2 linked regions of the Oreochromis niloticus genome follow. The protein of the gene in region 1 interacts with the protein of each later gene in a biochemical or structural test. Links are inferred from orthologs where the notes say so. Each region holds a gene or a part of one and is shown on either strand. Other genes may lie near its edges.

Region 1 (9,792 bases):
ATAACAAACAACTTAGCAAAGAACCTATTTTAAATTGCATCTTCGGGCACTTTGTTACTAGCAGCTTGTTGTAAAATGAATAAATAAATAAAAATCCTCCAATTTCTTTAGTTGAATCCATGAAAAATATCAAAGATCGCACAGTTTGAGCTATCGGCTGAAAACCTCACATATCTCTGCATAGGATGCACCATGTCTAACTAATCTAAGTAAAATGCACAAGTGGAAGACAAAAGAAGAGTGGAAGGCCAAAAAACTATCTACAACAGATGAAAGCATCTGAAAGTCATGTCCTCAAGAAATAGCAAAACACGTCCAGAAAGGCCCTGACACAGGATCTGAGAGACGCATCTGGCTCTTCAGTTGATTCATCTGCTGTTCACTGAAGCCTCATCAGAAATGGTCTCAGTGGAAGGACGGCTGTCAATAAGCCATTATTAGAAAAGAGAAACAGAAAGGAAAAACTGAGGTATACCAAATTACACAAGAACTAGACTGATGGAGTGATAAATCCAAATTGTTGATTCAAATCATCATCAAGATATATGGAGGAGGTCAGGAGGTGAGGGAAGGGTGTGTCTACAGCTGTCTGTAAAACACAGTGGCGGCTCTGTCATGGTTTGGAGCTGCATTTTAGTCAGTGGTGATGGAGATCCTGTCAAAATTTGTGGAATTATGAACATAGAAAAATACCACTAGATTTTGATCCACCATGCAGTACCTCCTGTAAAGTGTTTGATTAATTTTTATTAAGGAGACCAATCCATGAGACCAGACTCATGGATTGGTCTCCCCAAAGCCTGGACCTCAACATTACTGATGCAGTGTGGGATCATATTTGACAGAACAGAACAAAGAGCAGCCAAAGAAGAGCTTTGAATGTCCTCCAAGAAGCCTCTAGAACTATTCCTGAAGACTACATAAAGAAATCACAAAGAAATTACAAAAAATTCAAACTTATTAAAATTGAACTCATTTTTTTTACCTCATACACTGGCTCTCCATGTATTCTTGCTACAATAAATCACTACACATATTTTCCATACCACAATATAAAGAAATGAGCATTGGCTCTTTCATACAGGTCTGTATATAAAATGCTAACAGCAGACAAAATGGACTGAATTTGCACTTTGACACACAAAACGAGTGAACTCCACGAATTCACAGAGGTAAATGCCCCAGAGGTAGATTTTTAAAGGTCTCATCAACTTTTCTGCAATACCTTCAAAAAAAAAACAAGTTGCGTCACTACAGGATTTCTTACAAAGTCAGCAGTGCAGCAAACACAGTAGAAGACAAAAGTGGTGAAACAGCTTCAAAATATGGCATAGCTCAATGTCAGCTGCAGAGAACTGTTAAAGAAGAGTCTGACAGAAAACTGGGCTCTAACAGACCGTGGGGAAGTGAACGAAGAAACCCTAAACTTCTATGCTGAGCTACAAGATTAGCTATGAAACATCCTCCATTGGCCAACAAAGGTGAGAGTGAGGAACACAATTAAGGGTTGTAGATAACTTACAAAACTCAAAGATGACATGACACGCTCTCTGAGAAATAATATCCATCATATTGGCCAAGCAGAGCTGCTCACTTGAGTCTTTCACTCTAAATACCTCATTTAACAGTGTGATGTAACAACCTTTGAAAGTACAAATGAAAAGAGGTAGTGGGCCCTGTGTCAGCCTTTGAAGTAAACTCACTCAAGCAAAGGGTGACTGTAAATGACTGTCACCCCTGCAGTGTGCACCCCATGCTCTGGAGCTCGAGGGATTTCACCACAGTCCAGCTGAGGGTTGTGCTGGCACGGCCTCAGTGACCTCAAGTCTCCAGGCAACTCCCCTAGAGTGGAAGAGTGGTCTGTTTTGAAAGCTTCAGAAGTCACAAGTGAAAAAGGAACCCCAACCTGCTGGAGGCCCCAGGATAACCACAGTGAACTGTTTGTTAGATGATGGAAATCTTTTCTTTTATACATATATATAAATATATATATATATGTATATATACATATACATATTGCCTGGATGTCCTTTACCAATATAGCATAATATGACATTAAACATGTTTTGTTTTAATGGGATTTTTTCCCCTCTCAAAAAATGTTAAACATGAGGAACATGTTCTTCTTCATGACTTCTGCAGTCCTCTGTGGCAGACTGGATGTCAGTTTCTGTGGTAAATCCTGATTGATGATCATCCATTCCTGGCTTGTCAGTGCACCAAGTCGATCATAACGATGATCATAATCACATTCATGCATGATGGAGCGCCATGTCATAAGCCAAAAGCGAGTCGAAACTCTCCAGACCAAGAGTTTATGCCTAAGCAAGACCTTAAAAAAGTGGATGGACAAGCAGAAGCTCACATACTGGGAACATCCTGGAGTTTGGATCTCCATCAATTAGGATTTGGCTCGGAGGCTGATATCCAACACGTCGTGCAGAATTGCAGAAGTTATGAAGAAAGGTCAGCATTGTACATACTGACTCTTTGCAAAAATGTTTTTTGTTTAACAATAAAAGTCTTTGAAATGCATAAAATGCTTATGATTGTTCTTCATCATCAAAGGAAGTAAAAATGTAACAAAAAAATTGAACCAAAGTGTGTGAAATGCTAAATCTGTGCCATTGCCTAAACTTTTAGTTATGACAGTACAACCCGTTTATATTAAAAACACAGACATGTGCCATGTACCACTGCACTTATGTTAATTGAAAGTTTATGGTATTGTCTTGACTGCAGGTATTTAAAGTTACTCTTCATTGCATTTAAGAAACAACTATTGTACTTTAACACATTAATTTCAACAGATGCAGTTTCTTGCATCTTGCTCACAATACTCTGTCGTTATATTAAGGAAATATGGCATTACTTTATTTTGGAGCATGTATTATTTTAACATTCTCTACCAGAATTACTGTTATTTTACATGACAGACCTTTGAAGTGTAACAACATTTACACTGTTGAACACTAAAATTGAAAATACTGAAAATACAGTAATAATAGGGTTTTTTTTAAAAAAAAGTATAACATGATTAAAAGAACAATTATTTCACTAAATAAATTAATCTGGGGTACATACTGTGCTGTGTCTATAACGTCACTGTCACCTCTGCATCTCTTTCTTACAACTGAGTAAAGATAAAAACATGCTTGCTTTACTTTGAAAGATAAAACACATATTAATAAATGCAAACAAAAAAATAATTGGTTGAAATTATTCAGTACAGAAAGTCTACATTTTACTTTAAAAGTAGTCCTTTTTGTAAAAACCACTGCATTTTGCAATGGCACAATCGCTTTGTTTGTCTTTTAAAACTGCATTTACACCATTTTCATGTCGTTTAACAGGTTTTTTTTAACTTCTTATTAAACTTGATTTAATAGCTTTAGGTTAAAAAAAATCACTTTTTGTTCCAGAGGATGTACAACATTTACACTTTTTGTATTTGAACATATTGTGTAACATCTTCACAATCGATTAGCTGCTATTCTAAATATTTTCAAACAACAATAAAATGTAAAATATATATATATATATACTGTATATATATATATATACATATATATATATATATATACATATATATATATGAATATTATTTTTGGATTGAAAATATTTCCCCTGGTTTAAAGCTTATTCACATCCAGTTTTCACACCTATTAAGCTGAGAGCATCATTTTCCCTTCTTTTAAAGGTTTATCCTTTAATAAACATCTAGCCCTTCTCACAGGGATTGGAGCCTTCAAGACTAAAGGCTGTTGGCCAAAAAATACACCAATAACACACAACAAGAGAAGGAGGTATGATGTACAGTAATATGGACAGTACCGGCTTTACATGGATCCTTGTAGTCGATTTCGTCCCCGAGGTCAGTAAAAGTTGTTTCCACAGTCTCCCAATCAGCCGCCAGAGAAACGCAAAGACCGCACAGCAGGAACAAAAATCTAGGAGCGACTTCCATTGCCTTTGATCAAATATGCAGAGGAGATAAAGTTGGTAATTGTGCTGCAGTAAGAGAAAAGGGCGCTGAAAAGACTCTTCTGCCCAGCGGCGCTGTTTCCTCACGTCTCCATGCTGCTGCAGTGATTTCGCTGACATCCAGCACCGAGCGCACAGCAATGCACACACCCATGCCTCTGAAGCCAGAGAGGTGCTTCACCTGCTGTCAGGTGACTTAGGGGGCTTTACATCGGACGTAAGCGCGGGTAAAATCCGTGTCATTTCTTTCTGTGTTAATAAACATGTTAGAAACATTTAAAATTAAAGGGGGAAAAAACACCTATAGCCGGACCACAAAGCATCACCGAGCACCTGACATGTAGCCTATCCTGTATTTGTGCACTACAACTGTTTCTCGACAACCTACATCGGTTAAATAAGATAGACTTGGTCGTGTTTGTGTAACAGAATCCCGATACTGTTTATGCCTCAGAGACTTTATCACAAGGTGCTGATTCCTGACCCGCTACACCACCTGCAGGCTACAGGGTCCACTCACACGTTAGCTCTGAAATGCGGGAATACTGACTCAGCAGTTAAGAGAGGAGCTGACTCATAACTGAAGCTAAGGGAAATTTTAAAAAACAAACAAAATATCTTTATTTTATTTTTTTTTTCGCCAAAAGTCTTACTATCCTTCTTATGTAATTTCCAAAAACAAACAAAAGAACTGTTTATTTATTTATATTTATTTACATAACATACAGTAAGATTTCCCATCAAAAGAAATTATGAAAGTACTGTGTGATGAGGTTTCGAAACTTTCTGAAAAGTTGACTGTAGTGATACTGATAGAAGGGGACTTCTATCGTGAGTGATTTAACATGAAATAATAATAATAATAATAAGAAGAAGAATAATAAGAATAATAATAATAATAATGATGATGATGATCTGGCACATTAATCCTGTAAGACACTTAGGAGAAGCTGGAAAAGGCATCCAGCTGCTCCAGGGGACTGAGGGATGAGGCAAAGACTAGAAATCAGACCAAGGGCACCTGGTGGAAAGAGATGAAATACACGTAACAAAGCGTGCGAAATGATATATTCCAGATCTTACTAAGTATAATAAAATCCAACAATCATGTTTTTGAAATTCCTACATAACAGAAATATAAAATTATTCTTTATTGTTAATGACTGCTAATTTGTTGAGTGTGGGACATTAAATTGATTTGGCTTCTGAAGTGGAACATACAGTATCAGACAGCATGTGAATCATCCTGTGTTATTCTTTAACCATTTGGTTTACCGATTGTTAATCACCTAAAAGAGTTTAATTCAGTTCAGTTCCACTGAGGTTTATTTATATAAACCAAATCAAAGCAACACTATACAAGAGGCACTTAGTGAGCAAGCAGTTTGTGACAGTGGGAAGGAAAAACTCCCTTTTAACAGGAAGAAGCCTCGAGCAATGAAATGAGTAATGAAAAGAGGTGAGTAAAGGAGTGCTCAGTGCATCACAGTGTATTGCAGGGCTCCCTGCAGCAGTCTGAGCCTATAGCAGCATAACCAAGAAATGGTTCAGCCTCAAAGAGAAAATCCTTCATTTGGACACTTTATATTAACCCTGTATAGTATTTCTCTTGTGAATCATCTGACATTTAGTTCCACTAAAATATTAAAAGCAGTGTGGAAAAAAAGTGTTTAATGTTTATTTGCAGTGACAGCTTTGCACAGTGCATATGTTTACCACTGAGTGGCACTGATGGGTAAGTTGTAGAATCAAGTGAACTACCAAAAGAAGTAAAGGAAAAAAAGAAGAAGAAAAAAACAAAACAAAGAAAAGTATGAGTGAAAACAAATACCTGGACATAGCTGTGGAGTCATTCAGAGAAACACTCTGAGAAGAGAGGAGGAGTAAATCAGCCTCCTATGCATGAGTGTTTTGTTTTGCTGTGCAAACTCTTGGCAAAGTTTGCTACAAGTGTGATGTGAGTGGGAGTCGAAGACTCGGTCCCACAAGCCTCACTCCTCCTCTGCCACCACACATCTGCTCCTGAGGAGATGGGACCCTGATCAGGAGGAGAGCTCTCTTCATGCCTCAGTCTGTATGGCTGAAACCTCCAGAGCACTGTAAGGAGAGGAGCCCAAAGGAAAAGAAAAATCCTTCATCCTGAGACAATATTTATGTTTACCATCTCCCAGGCTGATTGCTCTCTTAAATTTGGAGTGATGTCCCAGTGCTGGTGCAGGCGGGTCCTGCTTTGTGTGGAACTGGGTATACTGGTGGCAGTCCTGGCGGCTGGCAGCACAGCTCAGCTATTTGAGCGGAGGCAAGCCGGGTCATCGTGCTATGGAGGATTTGACCTCTACTTTGTTTTGGACAAGTGAGTGCTTTTATTTTTACTTGATCAAAGAAGAGATCTGTGTGACTCATTGGTGCTTTTTGAAGGCACAGGTGCACACATCAGTCAAGCTGTCATCCAGAGGCAATGATGGGCTGCTACTTGCCTGACAAAAATATGCTACTGTGATGTAACTAGCATGTTTCAGCCTATTGAAATATTAAGGCCTTTATAAAGTTGAAGGTAGGGTCTGGTTTCCAGATAGAAACAGAATCGAATGTGACTCTAAGTGACATGTATATAATACATTTTTAATTTTGAAATGTCACCTGCTTGAGGCTTTCTGATCACACCAGTAGAAGCCTGATTTAAAAAGAACAGACTCGGTCATCAGATTTGCTAATTTCCTAAAGCTGTACCTGCCGCAACAGTTCAAAACTCCATCAACTCATGATATTGCATTTGCATTTGTGAGATACAAACTCATTGCAGCTGTGATCTACACCATCAAATTAAAACTGAATGAATTATCAACTGATTTTCTAGGTAATCAGTAGCTGAGTTACTGTGCAAACAGCTTAGGAGGTAAAGCGGCCCCTGTTGCACCAATCTGTGTCAGTATGTTTGACGTATGCATTGAAGAAAAAGCACTATATGAATATGTGTGAATGGATGAGTGTGGATTGCAGGGTGAAGTGCATTCAGTGGTTAATAAGATTAGAAATGTTGTATATAAAGGCCAACATGGTGAAAAACACCAACTGGAGTTTCAGAGTCTAAAATAAAGTCTTTAAATGTGTTATTTTGTACAATGTGAAACCCCGAAATATTTCTATTCATATACAAAAGGTTGTTTTTGTCTTAAATGGCTTAAATGATTGTGATATTATAGTACTTATATTAGAATACTTATTGTTCTCAGCTGTAATTGCGGTATCGTCCCATTTTATTGAAGGAAACAGTCGCAGATTATAAGAGACTCAAATGCCAAGAGCTCACATAAGGGTTCAATTAAATGTCATGAGGCTAACATGACTCTGTTGAACAGGTCAAGTCACATCAGTGTGCTGTTTCATAAATTCTCTCTTAAAAGAGCCACGCATACATAAATCAAAAACATGCACATCGTTTTCTTTTTGCAAATCACCTCAAAGTTGTAAGAACTGACATGAAGTGTGTTTACACGGTGACATCTTCATGCATTCATGCATCAGCGGATGATAAACTGCCCTGCAGGGATTCCTGTTTTCCAACAGCGGCCGCTCTTCGCTGACAGGCGCTGCCCACATCCAGTCCCAACTTCATCTCTCTGCGCTTCGATCTGCAGAACCCTTTCTCCATTAGAGCCAGATGTTCCAAAGATCCCGAATGTTTGGCTTTCTCTGCACTGCGACTCACATCACAGGATAAATGAAAACATAAGGGAGGAGGAGAAGGGAGAGTGCAGAGAGAGAAAGGGGGCACAAGAAGTTGTGCATATTTGCTCCACGAGTCTCTTTAATTACTGCCTTCCACTTAGAGAAATCATCTGTTTATGTTGGTCTGCACCTGTCACAAAACCTGGACCCAAGAGGAAGCCAAGTGGCACTTTAACTTTGGCTTTGGAGTAAAAGTGGGCAGTAAAGTCACATAAAAAAAGTGAGATTTTTTATGAATAGTATACCAAGAATAGTATACCAGTCCCATCCAACCTTATTTAGCATAGCAGCATAGCTGAGCTGAGTACTTTCTAGTTAAAAAAAAGGAGCAATAAAACACAGAAACAAATATCAAATAAAAGGAAAATAAATAACAGCAAAACATACAAAATTGAAATAAATAGACAATATAATTTATAAGAAATAAAACAGAAAAAGCAGGAGGTTAAAAAATGATTAAAACTCTGGTACTAAACTTAAAATGTCTTGGAGAATATTTATGCTTTTAGAAGCTGTTTAAAAATATCAGTTGTTCACACTGATTCCATAATTTGGTGTCCACAACAGCTAAAGCTCAGTTGAGTGGACAGGGGACAAGCGGACAGCGGACAGTCCCCGCTACAGGTTAAATACCTGGACTCTTGGCCAGCTGTTTTAGAACTGAAGAAGCCTTGTGGATGAAAAGTTAAAAACATCTTCACGAGCCAAAAAGAAGTCCAGTCGCCTTCTTTTAAAGCACTCAACACCAGTAATTTCCTCTTCTTTCTAAAATATTTTTACACAAAAAGATTCAGGTGATAGCTGATAATCACAATAAGAATAATCTTTAACTAAAACACCTTTAATAAGTCAGACATGTCCACCATGTTCTCCATCACTGCTGCTCACTGTGAGGATAGGCTCCAGTCCTTCTTTCAGCCAGCTAAAGCTATTATATTGTATGCAGTGCAAAAACAATACTGTCTTTAATTACATAACATTACAGGGTTATAAGGAGATCTAGACTTTAAAGGCAGTTTCCACAATTTTACAGAAATTCTGTGTTTCCGTCTTTCAGCTTTTAATGTCATGATTTTCTTGTAAAACATTAGTTGTCTGTTTTGATGGCTCCCTTTATATTCTTACTAATTCTGGAAGTGAAGAAGCTAAACAACAGGAAAACAGCATTAAGTTGTTCACTATTAGAGTGTTTCTAAGTTGCGTGTCTTTTTCAGTCAACTGTGAATTGACTTTTGAGCCAAAGCTCCTGTGTGTCACTGAAAATGCTGAATCTTTGTTTCAGGTCTGGCAGTGTGCAGCATTACTGGAATGAGATCTATTACTTTGTTGATCATCTGGCTCACAAGTTTATCAGGTACAGCTACGCACAAGCCGTGGCACTAAAAGAGTAAAGGGGGGGAAAAAAATATATATAAAGATTTATAACATGTAACAATCATCTCCGGTGCTTTTTTTCCCCAGTCCTCAGCTACGGATGTCTTTTATTGTATTTTCAACAGAAGGAAGGATTCTCATGGCTCTAACAGAAGACAGGTGGCACATATACGAACAGACCTAAATTTATTAATTATTTTTAATTTGTTGTATCTCTCCCTTCTGATCAGTAGTTTTTGTCCTTTTTCACATGTCAATAATCAGAGATCAGATTCGGGCGGGACTGGAGGAGTTACGTATGGTGCAGCCAGGCGGAGACACCTTCATGCACAGAGGATTTCAAAGGGTAAGTCATCTGTAAAGTCAATGAAAAACGGACCCTACCCAACAGCATGGCATCTGAGCCTTTAAATGAGGCCTTTTTAAAGTTTATAGCCACTGACGCCTCAAAACTTCCCTCTCAGGCCAGCGAGCAAATATACTACGGGACTGGAGATGGTAAGTAGATTTTTTCTTTCTTTCTTTTTTAAACACTTAATCATAGTAAAGTCTTTGACCCAAACATTAAAATTAATTTTACTCCTAATTCAATTTACAATATAAACACAGCTGCTCTTCACATCACAAATATGTTCAAAATATTTTTCCGATTCATAGATTGTGCTCTTACAGATTTTTGTTTCTTTTTAGCATTTTAACAGCTCT
Region 2 (10,565 bases), on another chromosome or scaffold:
GTGTGTGTGTGTGTGTGTGTGTGTGTGTGTATGTGTGTGTGTGCGTGCGTGCGTGTGTGACCATGTGTAAAGCAGCTCTGACTCCTAATAGGGTGAGACTGTGTGCGCAGCAGTGTGCAGACAAGGTAAGTGACTATGTGAGAATGAGGCTAAATAGGTGGGTGGTGCTTTCAGCTGAGACTGGTTAGAGAAAATGTCCATTTGATGCGGCTGAATGGAAAATCAATTGACTCGCTCATTGTATTCAGCAGCTGTTCTGATGGCGAACAAGCTTACCCAAGGAGGGAAGAAAAAAAACAACAACCAAGGAAAGGTTATAGAGAGGAAGAAGAAAAAGAAAGAAAGAAATAGAAGTTGAACAGAATAAACAAAAAGAAAGTCGAAAAAATTGCTCTTGTGACAAAGGGGGGAAACAACTGCTCTCTCCACATACAGTTTGTTTACTGAATTACGAATGTTCATGCTTGTTTATTCAGCTGCCTGTTTTTCGTGTGTTTAGGACTACTAGAATGGCTTGAAATCTACAAAAGCTGAGAGCAGCATTTGAGCTGAGAGGATGATTACCTTGAAGACAGGTTTTGCAGCAGTGCCCCGCCAGCTGGACAGGATTGTCACAGTCCAGGGCCGGACAGTCTTGTTTTATGTTTTTGCAGTTTACCTTTCCAGACACCTTACCACGGCGACTCTTTTGCTGCCAGAGAAAAATAAAAACAAACACACACACATTAGTCAGCTCACCTGGAGTTACAGCTTACTGCAGGGGAAAAAAGTCAAACGCAACATGTGGAGTGAGATCACACTAAGCCAAAACTTACAGGTTCACAGTGGCACTGGACACAGTGCATGATGCCAAAGGGCTCCCCCAGGTCTGGGTGCCACTTGTCCTCCAGGGAATAAAAGCGACCTCCAAATGAGCATCCTGCAACACCAACATTGTTGATTACACACAGCAAACATTAGGCGATTACAACCTAATTTCTTTGGCTCTTTCCAAAATAAAGAACAACTTGATTAGAAAAGCAAAATGATATGCTTAAAAAAATGTTTTTCTTTTTGAGATATGCCAAAATTAATTAGGGAACACAACAACAACAACAACAAAACTTTTAAAAAACATATTAAAAGATAAGCTGGCCTTTCTGATATTTAGAGTTTTCCTACTATGTTCTGTCATAAGTGGTGGAACCTCATATTAAACATGGCCAAAGTTTTAAAGATCAGAGGATATATACAAGAAACCCCTGTGAACAAAAGCTCAAGGCTGAGTATAAGGCAAATAAGGATTATTTTGAACGGAATATCATGCAAAGCTATTCTAGTAAGTTCTAATAATAAAAAATTAAAACATTTAAAAATAAAAAACCACACAACTTAAAAAATAAGGATAATATTCCACTTTAATAGCAAGAAAAAGTAAAACTCATTTTTATGACAAACCACAGATACCAGACCACGATTGCCATTTGCATACTTAAAAACAAATAAATCCCACACATGAGCTCACTGCCCAGACTTGCTGGAAGCTACCAAAACTCCCTGGATGCCTCAAATTTTGGAACTCGAGCTTTGCATCCTGTCTGATCTAAATGATCCAGAGAGAAGTTCCACTCAAACTTATCAGAGATTCCCAGAAACACACACAGATCACAGGCCACGCCTTAATTAATTCAGTGGGCATATTATAAAGATTATACAGTATACTGAACTTCTAGTGAAAAGGATTTTTACAGTACATGATGGGTCAGCTATGTTTCAGTCTACTTTGAAATGAAAGTGAACAATGGGCTGCAACTCTTCCCATATTTTGCCCAAAGTGGATGTGAAGGAACTCTAACACTCTTGCAAAACATGTGAGCCTTTCACTTTAAACCCAGTGTGCTGGAGCCGAGCCACGGCTATAAAATACACATCCATGTCCTAATATGTAGGGACGGGGCTGTATATTGATGTTACAGGGGATAAAAATAGCTTTCAGTGTTGTTATTACTAGGCTGCACTCATAATTAAGTGTTTGTCACGCCGAGTTACTGCAGGAGTATTATAATTATTTTTGGTTAGGGTGACTGTATGTGGTGTGTGCACACACAAACTTGATGTTACCCTGGCCAGCTTCACTCGAGCTGATGGCTCTCCCCCGCTCACGGCTACCAAGCTGGTTCGCATTATTCTTTCATTAAAGTGACTGCACACTTTAAACAGTCCAGTCGAGTTAAAGGGAGAGCCAAACGGAGAGCCTCCCCACTCCGCGCTGCGCTCAAGTAGAGGAGGAGGAGGCTCTGAGGAGCCAGCGCTTGTAATGGAAAGTCGATTGATTAGAGTTTCCAACATGAAATTACACGTTATAACGGGGTGGTTAACGTGGAGTTCCCGCTGCTCTGAGCTCCAGAGTAGTTACCTTATAAAAACCGCGGCGAGCTTTTGTACGAAGGGGCTTTCACAAATGAATCAAAAGGCATCGACTGCGGTTATGACTCACATGTTTGCCGCTGGTTTACACATGAAGCAACCTGGAACCGGGAGAGGAAACTAGAAAAAAACGACTGTGTACTACTGCAGCGGAAAAAAACTAACTTTTAAATGTCGAGATTTAACGGTTTTTAAATGTTAGCTAGCTCCGCTATCGGCGCTGCTGTCACGTGCACAGCTGGGGGGGTGAACTGGGGTCATAACCCCACACCCATGAAACAACTCACGGGAAAAAGAGACATTTTAACAGTAAGTACTTTTATACCAAATTATGCACACTTGAAAAAATACAGCCTTCTTATAAAAAAAGAAATAATTTAAACAAAAGTTTTAAAGCAAACAAACTTTTAAATTGTTAGTTAGCTGCTGCTCAGTGCTGCCCCCTGGGTCACAAACTGTTTACACAGCAGGGGTTGTCTGATTTGGAAGCCTGAAACTGATGCTAACAAATGCAGCTTAGGTAGCCAACTTCTTCAGCGGCTTTCAAAGCGTGCGGCCATTTTTATAGCTATTGCTGGTATAAAAAAAAACAAAAAACAAACCAATATACACCAGCTGCCAGCTCAAGGCTGTAACACCGCTTTTCTTAGGTGGCTTCTCTTACGTTTCCAAAATTGTCTTACGTTTCCAAAACAACATACCTGATGTGCCTTTGAAGGGCAGCGGTTCTGTCTCGGGCTGGATGGGCAAAGAGGGAGACTTGAGCCGCGAGGCCGCTCCTCCGTGCAGCCACCACGCGCAGCTCAGCGCGCAAAGCAAGGAGTGGAGCGCGCAGGGAAGCAGCATCCCAAACCTCCGCAAAGGACTCCCTTCAAAAACTCCCGAGAAACCGGCTTCTTTAAACCAGCAATTACAGTAATGAGAGAGAATAAAAAGTTTCCTCCTTATAACAAAACGTCCTTTGTCGTTAGCTGTGAACGTCCGCTGTTGAGAATCATCCGAGTTTCGGCAAGACAAAAAGTTTTCCGTGAGCAGGGCAGTACTTGCACCGTCTTTCCTCGGTACCAGCGGTCTCCTCGCAGCCCCGTCTCGTTTGATTTTATAGGCTGCTTCCCTGACAGCTCCAAACAGCCGGGAGGAGGAGGAAGGGGGAAGATGAAGGGTGGGCCGGGTGATGGGTGAGGGGGTGGATGATGGACAGGGCAATCGACACCCCTATCAACTCAATACGCTGTCGAAAAGACTGGGCAGGTACAGCAGTGTGTTTCAACACACATATCTGAGACGAGGTGACGGCATAAATATCTTTCCTGGCATTGCATTAGCTTGGTAAATATTTTTTTTTTTCTGGTTGTTGTTAAAATAAAATAGCTTCTCTGCAACACCCCCTCCTATTTTTTTCATGTTGCATGTTTGATGTTGAAGTTATAAAGGACCGTGGGTGCTTTTAATAAAGTTTAATACGCTGCTGCTTCGGTATTAAAGGTGTCAGCTATATTTTTTTGTGTGTGTGCCAATCCCGTGGGAGTTTCGATAGTGGCATGCTGCTCTCTTGATTTAGTTCTCGTGTAATTGTATCAGTGTTGGTGTTATTTAGCGGTGATTACCCCTTTATCTGTCTGTTTCCCCAACTTTAATCATTTGGCCTTTGCACAGATTAAAGCGCTGTGCCGTAAGATAAAAGCCTAATCTGCTCACCGCAATGAGCGCCACGCTTTCAGCCATCTGACGCCCACGGACATGAGCCACAAGCTCTGGGGAGAAAGTGGGAATCTCCAGCTCATGTACAGTAAGGAATGTGTGAGTGTCCGCTGCTTTCTGTTCCCTTATTTTTTTCAAGTGCGTTTGGCGCTGAGACCTAAGTGACTTAACAGAAACAAATGAAAATAGTTGGAATACCTCATGGCAAATTTCTCCTGGCCCTTCTGCAGACCTCTGTGCCCCCCTCCCGCACAGTTTCCCTTTGGCTTGTCTCGAAGCCATAGCTGCTTGAACGGTTCCACTTAAAATCACATGTATTTTAAAATAAAATTAATTCATTTGTGGTTGTGTTGGGGGCTATATAACCTAAATTCTTTTACAAATTCACCACATCAACAACAAGTGAAATTTATTAGGGACTATTTAGCCCTGGGAAATGTCCCCATCAAACAAAAGCAGCGGTTAACAGTCCAGTTCCTCACTGTGGTCCCTACAGAGGGGAGCCCAGAACAAACTGGTCAGGTTTACATTACAATAGTGCTGCTCATGGTTGATTTATACCACAGGGTTCAGGAAAGGTCAGGCTTTGTGAAGAATGTTACCAAGCTTTCTGTATTTACAGTTCACCTGGTAGTTTGTGTCTCATTTTGCTCTTCTTTCCTATCAAATCCACACACCCCACTGACGCACAGCAGCACTGTGCACTCCGCTGTATATTATGTACCTCCTCCTAGACCGCTTTGGCGACAAATCGACTGCAAGGGCCATTAATATTACTAGCTCCATCTTAAATCGTTGCGCAAAATGTGCTAAATCGGTATGGCTTCGCTGGTAGATGTGTTTTCGCCTCTATGCAACATTTCAAACTCATCCGTGGATTACTTTGTCCACACATAGGCTAGAAAATGCATTAATATTGATAGCTCTATTAAACCGTTGCATTAAAAAAAGCGCCAGTTTCATTCGTTCCGTGCCAAAGGCGCAGGTAAGGTGTTATTTTTTTTATACATGTGTCACATTACATGGCCTTTAGGAGCCACTTCCACCCGAGTGTGAGGATTTACGCGGCTCCCCCCATCGCAACTGCCCAACCCTCTTTCACCTCAGCAATGGGACTCAATGATGGGCTATTTGCTCTTCATGATAGGGTGATAAGCGACTCTTTTCTTCTGCGCTGCAAAGTGATTAATTAAGCAGACGGGATGGCAAATCGTCTATATAAAAAACGCAGTATACATATACAGCCCCCCCCCCCCCCCATAGCATACTGACAGCGGGTTTTTGTGTATTGGAGGTGTCCTGCGCTTGAAAATCAGTCTGGCACCTCTGTTTCATAGTACTTAAAAATATAACACGACATTTCTCTGAGGTCTCAAAGTAATTCTTTTCGACCATCAACTAAAAGATCACAAATACACATTTAAGTTTCAAGGTGTCCGCTCTGCTCTGAGCGCAACTTTTATTTTGATGGTTTGTAAGGCTGGCAGGGGGAACACTGATCGAATAGTTTAATCCTTCGGCGAATTAAATCAGTCCTCACCTGCAGTATTTTATTTTGTTTTGCTTTATTTTATTTTTATCAGGGGAAAATCGTCATATTCCCTTACTAAAATCTGACTTTTAGGTTCAGAAATAAAGCAAATGATTTAAATAAAGTCATAATTCATGTATGTTTTATCAAGAGACACATTAAGAAAAAATAAACCTGAGCATGTTTATAATGACGTATTTATGACCTGTTGCTGATAACTCGCAAAGATTCAATCGCATTGTAAATCTTTTTTTAACGAGTGTATCTTGGCCTCAGATCCTTGGATTTCCCTCCACCGCAGGATTTATAGGGTCGTATAATGGTCATTATTCGGTATTGATTACAGATTGTTTCCTGGATAAAAACAATGGTCTTGGATTGATCACTGTCCCTCATTAATCTCCGCTTTAAGGCAGGAGATGAGCGGACTGGAAAGGAGAGGCTCAAAAGTCTTAAGTCATCTCTAATTTGCCACGAAAGATTACAGCCCAGTAAAAATCGATTAACCGTGGATGTGGATGCTGGCAGCTCTGTGCGGTTGTGATCAGGATATAATTAAAAGCAGACACGGTGCTCTCTCTATTTTATTAAGATTCCCGCTCCGCTGTCCGGGGAGCTTTCTCAGAAGAGTGCGCAATAACCTGAAACACTGCTGGCACAGAACGGCCGTGGATGTTTTTTACGTGACACCATTACAAGGACATTATTAAAAGTTCTCAGCGAGCCTGCGGCGCGCGCCTGGGTTTGCGAGGGAGGGGGGTGGTCAACGGTGGGTATCGGCTGTCAATCACGCATAATAAAGGTTCACCCACGAATACACTCATGGATACTTTCTTCTCTAATGGAGAGCAAATCGCTGTGTATTTGCTCTTTTTTCACGCCAGACGACCACAGCTTCATCCTACCCCCACCTCCACATCCAGTCTGATTCCACAGAGCACACTCAAGGGGGGGCGGGGGGGCATCCTGTTTGCTGCTCGGAGTGACGGGAGGTGTGAATATCAGTCAGCCCTGGATGTCCCGCTCATGCACCTCCCTTTCAGTCACCACCTGTTCCCAGACTCGATGTGCCTCCACGCGCTCACATTGAGAAGCGTCGGTTTCAGAATTATTCTCTTTAGAGTCATACACTCTGCGTGACCTTCCCTTTTTTGCCGCCATGCATCTCAAAGACCCCAATTATTTCTGACTCATGTTTAGATACACGGCCCCGGTTGTAATTGCGCGTTTCCCTTTTGGAATCCAGCGTCGATTTAGGTTTCTATCAAGGGCAGACATCTGAAAAAGAGGTAGCTTACTTCGAGATGCTGGAAACTGTCATCAAAAAAAGAAAAGTCTTTTTTTTTTTTTTTAAATCTATCTATCGTGTTTTTAAAAATGTTCTCTGAATAGGGTAAATTAAGACGCACACCATGCTTTCTCCCCTACCACTGTTATGCTGATGCTGATAATAATAAGAGGCTGTAAAGCTAATTGTGTACTGATGCCGGTAGCGGAAAAGGGGAGAGAGGGGGCGGGCGAGTGGGGAGTGAAATGGGCCTTTGCTCAGTCAGTATGTGAATGTGCAAATGGAAGAAGACGTCTTGCAGAGTTGATGTTTATTCATACAAACTGAATCAATTTGCAGGCACAGTCGAAACTGTGGAGAAAGGAGCGCTGCCCCTGTCTTCTCACCGTCTCCTATTGTGGATCGGGGAGGAGGCGTGACCATAATTACTGCAGGCAATTAGCGAGCATAGGCTATGTCCAAATGCAGTGGAGGTGAGTGTGTGTGTGTGGGGAGGCTGCTCGGTTTGTTTTGACACCTCCGGGAGAAGACCTGTGCAGTTACAGGGGACGTTCCCAGCGTTTAGTTTATCACCAGGACAATGTAGTTTGTGCGTGTGTGGAGTAACAGATGATTAGTAGTGGAGAGTCTACAAAGTTACGCTGAAATTATAAAAAGCTCTTCCTATTTACACCCAGCGAACTTCCCCACACTGACCTTAAATTAGTATGTGATTTTCAGTGATCAAAATACTTATCAGTGAGTAATTGTGCTAAAATGTAGGTACAATAGAGCAAGGAGCTAAGACTTAAAGGAAACATGTTTTTATAAGCAGTGGTTACTCGGAGCTAATTCCGAATCAGAATGCTTTGTTAATTCCAGAGTGAAATCAATGAGAAATATTTTAGAAGACATGGAAAACAAATTATACTCTATTTATGCAATAAGCAAAACACAGTGTTTCCTTTATTCTGTAAGGCAAAACCCTAAAATGATAAAGAGAAAACCCCAACAATCAGATGACCCACCCATGAGCAAGCACTTGACAACAGAGGGAAGGACAAACAGGAAGAAAATGCCAACAGAATGGGGGAGTGGAGTCCATCTGCTGGTTGGGGGTAGATGGCATAGTATTATTAAAGAAATATTTAATAATTATATGTAGTGCTGTACTTTAAAGTCTGGCTATTTCAATAGTTAGTATGTTTCTACTTAGGTTCTTTTCCTGTGTTATATGCATTAGTCTGTCATGTTTTTCAAGATATCACTCTGCAGAGTAAAGGTGTATAGATAGATCCACAGACTCTGAAGGATCAGGTAAAGAATAAAGATAATGGCAGCTAGGTGCACTTTTGGGGGGCCTCTTTGAACAAGAAGACCATTCAAAGTAGCTACTTCACAGGATGCAAAAGACAAAAAGAGAACAAACACAAAGAACCAAAAGAAAATATAAAGAAGGATAAAACATAATGAGATCATAGAATAGAGTAGACGTGTTTGATTTAATAGGTGAATAAAAAAATCAGCTGAAAGCATGCAACTCAAATGCTCAATTATAATTATCTCAAGTACTGCAAGCACTTGCAGTACTTGAGCAAAAGGCGGAAAAAGAAAGTCCAGCATCTTGCTGTGCAGTTCATGTTCAGAGAGCCAGAATGCGACACACATTGCCAAATGTGCACACATGGCACGACACGTTATCCATCCTTCCTGGCAGACTCCCTTCCCACCCTCCCCGCTCTCTCCTGTCGGCCCTTTGAAATCTGCATCACTCGGTCTCATTTCTGTTTACAAGAGTCAAATTGCTTCCACACACTTTATTTGTAAAAGTCGATAGATGTGCAGAGGGGAGAGAGAAGGAGAGAGCGAGCTGTGCCAAAAGCGGTCACGGCACATGCATTTTTTACTCGCGCGGTAAATACCTCCACCGTTAAACATCAACACGCAGTCATCCTGATGAGTGGTCTGAGAGGCGACAGTCTAACAAGCTTCTCCTGACTCATCAGTTATTACAGAGTCTGACCTGCTGCTTAACTGATTTCGTGCTTGCATGAAATGAATGATGCTCAATGGAAAGTTGGCCCAAGTTCCACTGCTACTCCTCCTCCTCTTCAAAAGTGCCCCTGAAGAACTTCTGCTGGTTGATGCTTGTTTTAATTGCAAGGATGTTTCTTTTTCAATGAGATTTACTGTTTGGGTGGTCTGACTGAACATTGGAAGACAATGGAATAGGAAAGAAAAGGCAAACAATCGCTGAAGACAGGCAGGGAGGAGAGGATGGTACAGGAGGGAGTTGCTCATAAGGCTTTATTGCTTAATCACAAGTCAAGTGGTCAAGAATGAATGTGAATATCAGCCGAGCCAAGAATAAATAGTCCTCGGCACCAGTGGTTCTTCCAGCGGGGCTTGGAGCCCTGAAGATTGAGGAGAAAATGAAGGAAAGTTTATGCTTTCATTATTTTCTTTGCCAGAGAATCACAAAATGAATCTTTCCCAAACTTACAAATCCAGAAGTGTTTGGAGCAACAACAAAAAAAAGAAAGAAAAAATGAAAAAAAGGGAGGTGCAACGAAAGGAATAAAAACATTTTTAAAACACCCCCAAATAATACAGATTTGACAAATAAAATGGCAAAAACAGTACCACTTTAATTGTATACTGTGCAAAATATAGTATGTTATTAGTGTGGTGAGGCCATTAGTGAAACCAAGTGGAGCCAGAGACCTAAAAAAGCATGAAATGTCCAAAAAACACAACTTTAAAGTTTTTTTTTCTTTAATCTGCAGATTAAAATGAATTTAAACACCAATAACACCGAAATGAGCAAATAGCTGTTTCTGTTCAAAGAATGAACACACTTATGGCTCAGAATGGTTTCACACTGACGTGTGTAACATGGCCATCTAGTATCATAGTTTGGTGTCTTCTTCTGCCTTCCCTCTTTCTTAAGTATTTTAAACTGTTTTTAAACTGTTCTTATGATGCTTTTCTGCAGCACAGGCTTGGGTCTTGTTGGATGCAGATTCACAGATTGTTACTAATATTTTTGCTTTATTCTTGTGTCAAGTCAGATACTTTCTGTTAGTATACTTTTTAGCAGGATACAGGCCTGGCAGAGGTAGGAAGTGAAAGATTTCAATAGAGAAAGAGTATGAAAAAAAGTGAGAGATTTGTCTAAAGACCCAGAACAATTGTCAGGACACAATGACTTGGCCAAGTCAAGAATTGTAGACTTAAAGAAAACAATTACTGGAAACTTGCACAGGAATGGATAGTGGGGATTAAGACCAAAAAAATTCCACTTCTACCGAAAAGATGAAATTATGAGATGAAACTAGAGATCTTTTGGCCACAGAAACACTGCTGAGAAAGATGAGAGACATACAAGCCAAAGATCAGTGTGCCCCACAGTGAAGCACGGTGGTGGGAGTATGCTGCAGTATGTCCGGAAGTGGAAATCACACTAAGGTGGATGAATCATGAATATATAAAAGGATATGTGAAGATTTCAGGAGAAAACCTAAAGCACTCAGCAGCAAAACTGGGTCTAGGTCGTCTGGGCACAAATCAGGATTGACCAACATGTATTGTTGTCTCCCAGATAACTTCTAAACCAACTAAAGATACTAAGGACAGATCCAACTGAATGATTTTTATTTT

What was found.
Region 2: of the proteins of bone morphogenetic protein 1 (region 1) and chrd, one has a biochemical effect on the other in vitro, tested with the Homo sapiens proteins (3 studies listed by BioGRID and IntAct). The link is inferred for Oreochromis niloticus from reciprocal best matches to the Homo sapiens genes BMP1 and CHRD.

The regions. Positions count from the first base shown.
Region 1 is NC_031972.2:22,682,284-22,692,075, reverse strand, and holds the start of bone morphogenetic protein 1, read right to left. Parts: upstream 4,331-9,792; 5' UTR 3,968-4,330; coding exon 3,835-3,967; intron 1-3,834. Other genes in the region: antxr1b (anthrax toxin receptor 1), read left to right, coding at 6,138-6,337, 8,996-9,067, 9,175-9,246, 9,352-9,433, 9,552-9,585. UniProt on the Homo sapiens protein: Metalloprotease that plays key roles in regulating the formation of the extracellular matrix (ECM) via processing of various precursor proteins into mature functional enzymes or structural proteins.
Region 2 is NC_031979.2:6,276,366-6,286,930, reverse strand, and holds the start of chrd (chordin), read right to left. Parts: upstream 3,753-10,565; 5' UTR 3,253-3,752; coding exon 3,108-3,252; intron 2,716-3,107; exon of another isoform or gene 2,642-2,715; intron 2,618-2,641; exon of another isoform or gene 2,477-2,617; intron 2,415-2,476; exon of another isoform or gene 2,396-2,414; intron 920-2,395; coding exon 816-919; intron 692-815; coding exon 565-691; intron 1-564. UniProt on the Homo sapiens protein: Dorsalizing factor. Key developmental protein that dorsalizes early vertebrate embryonic tissues by binding to ventralizing TGF-beta family bone morphogenetic proteins (BMPs) and sequestering them in latent complexes.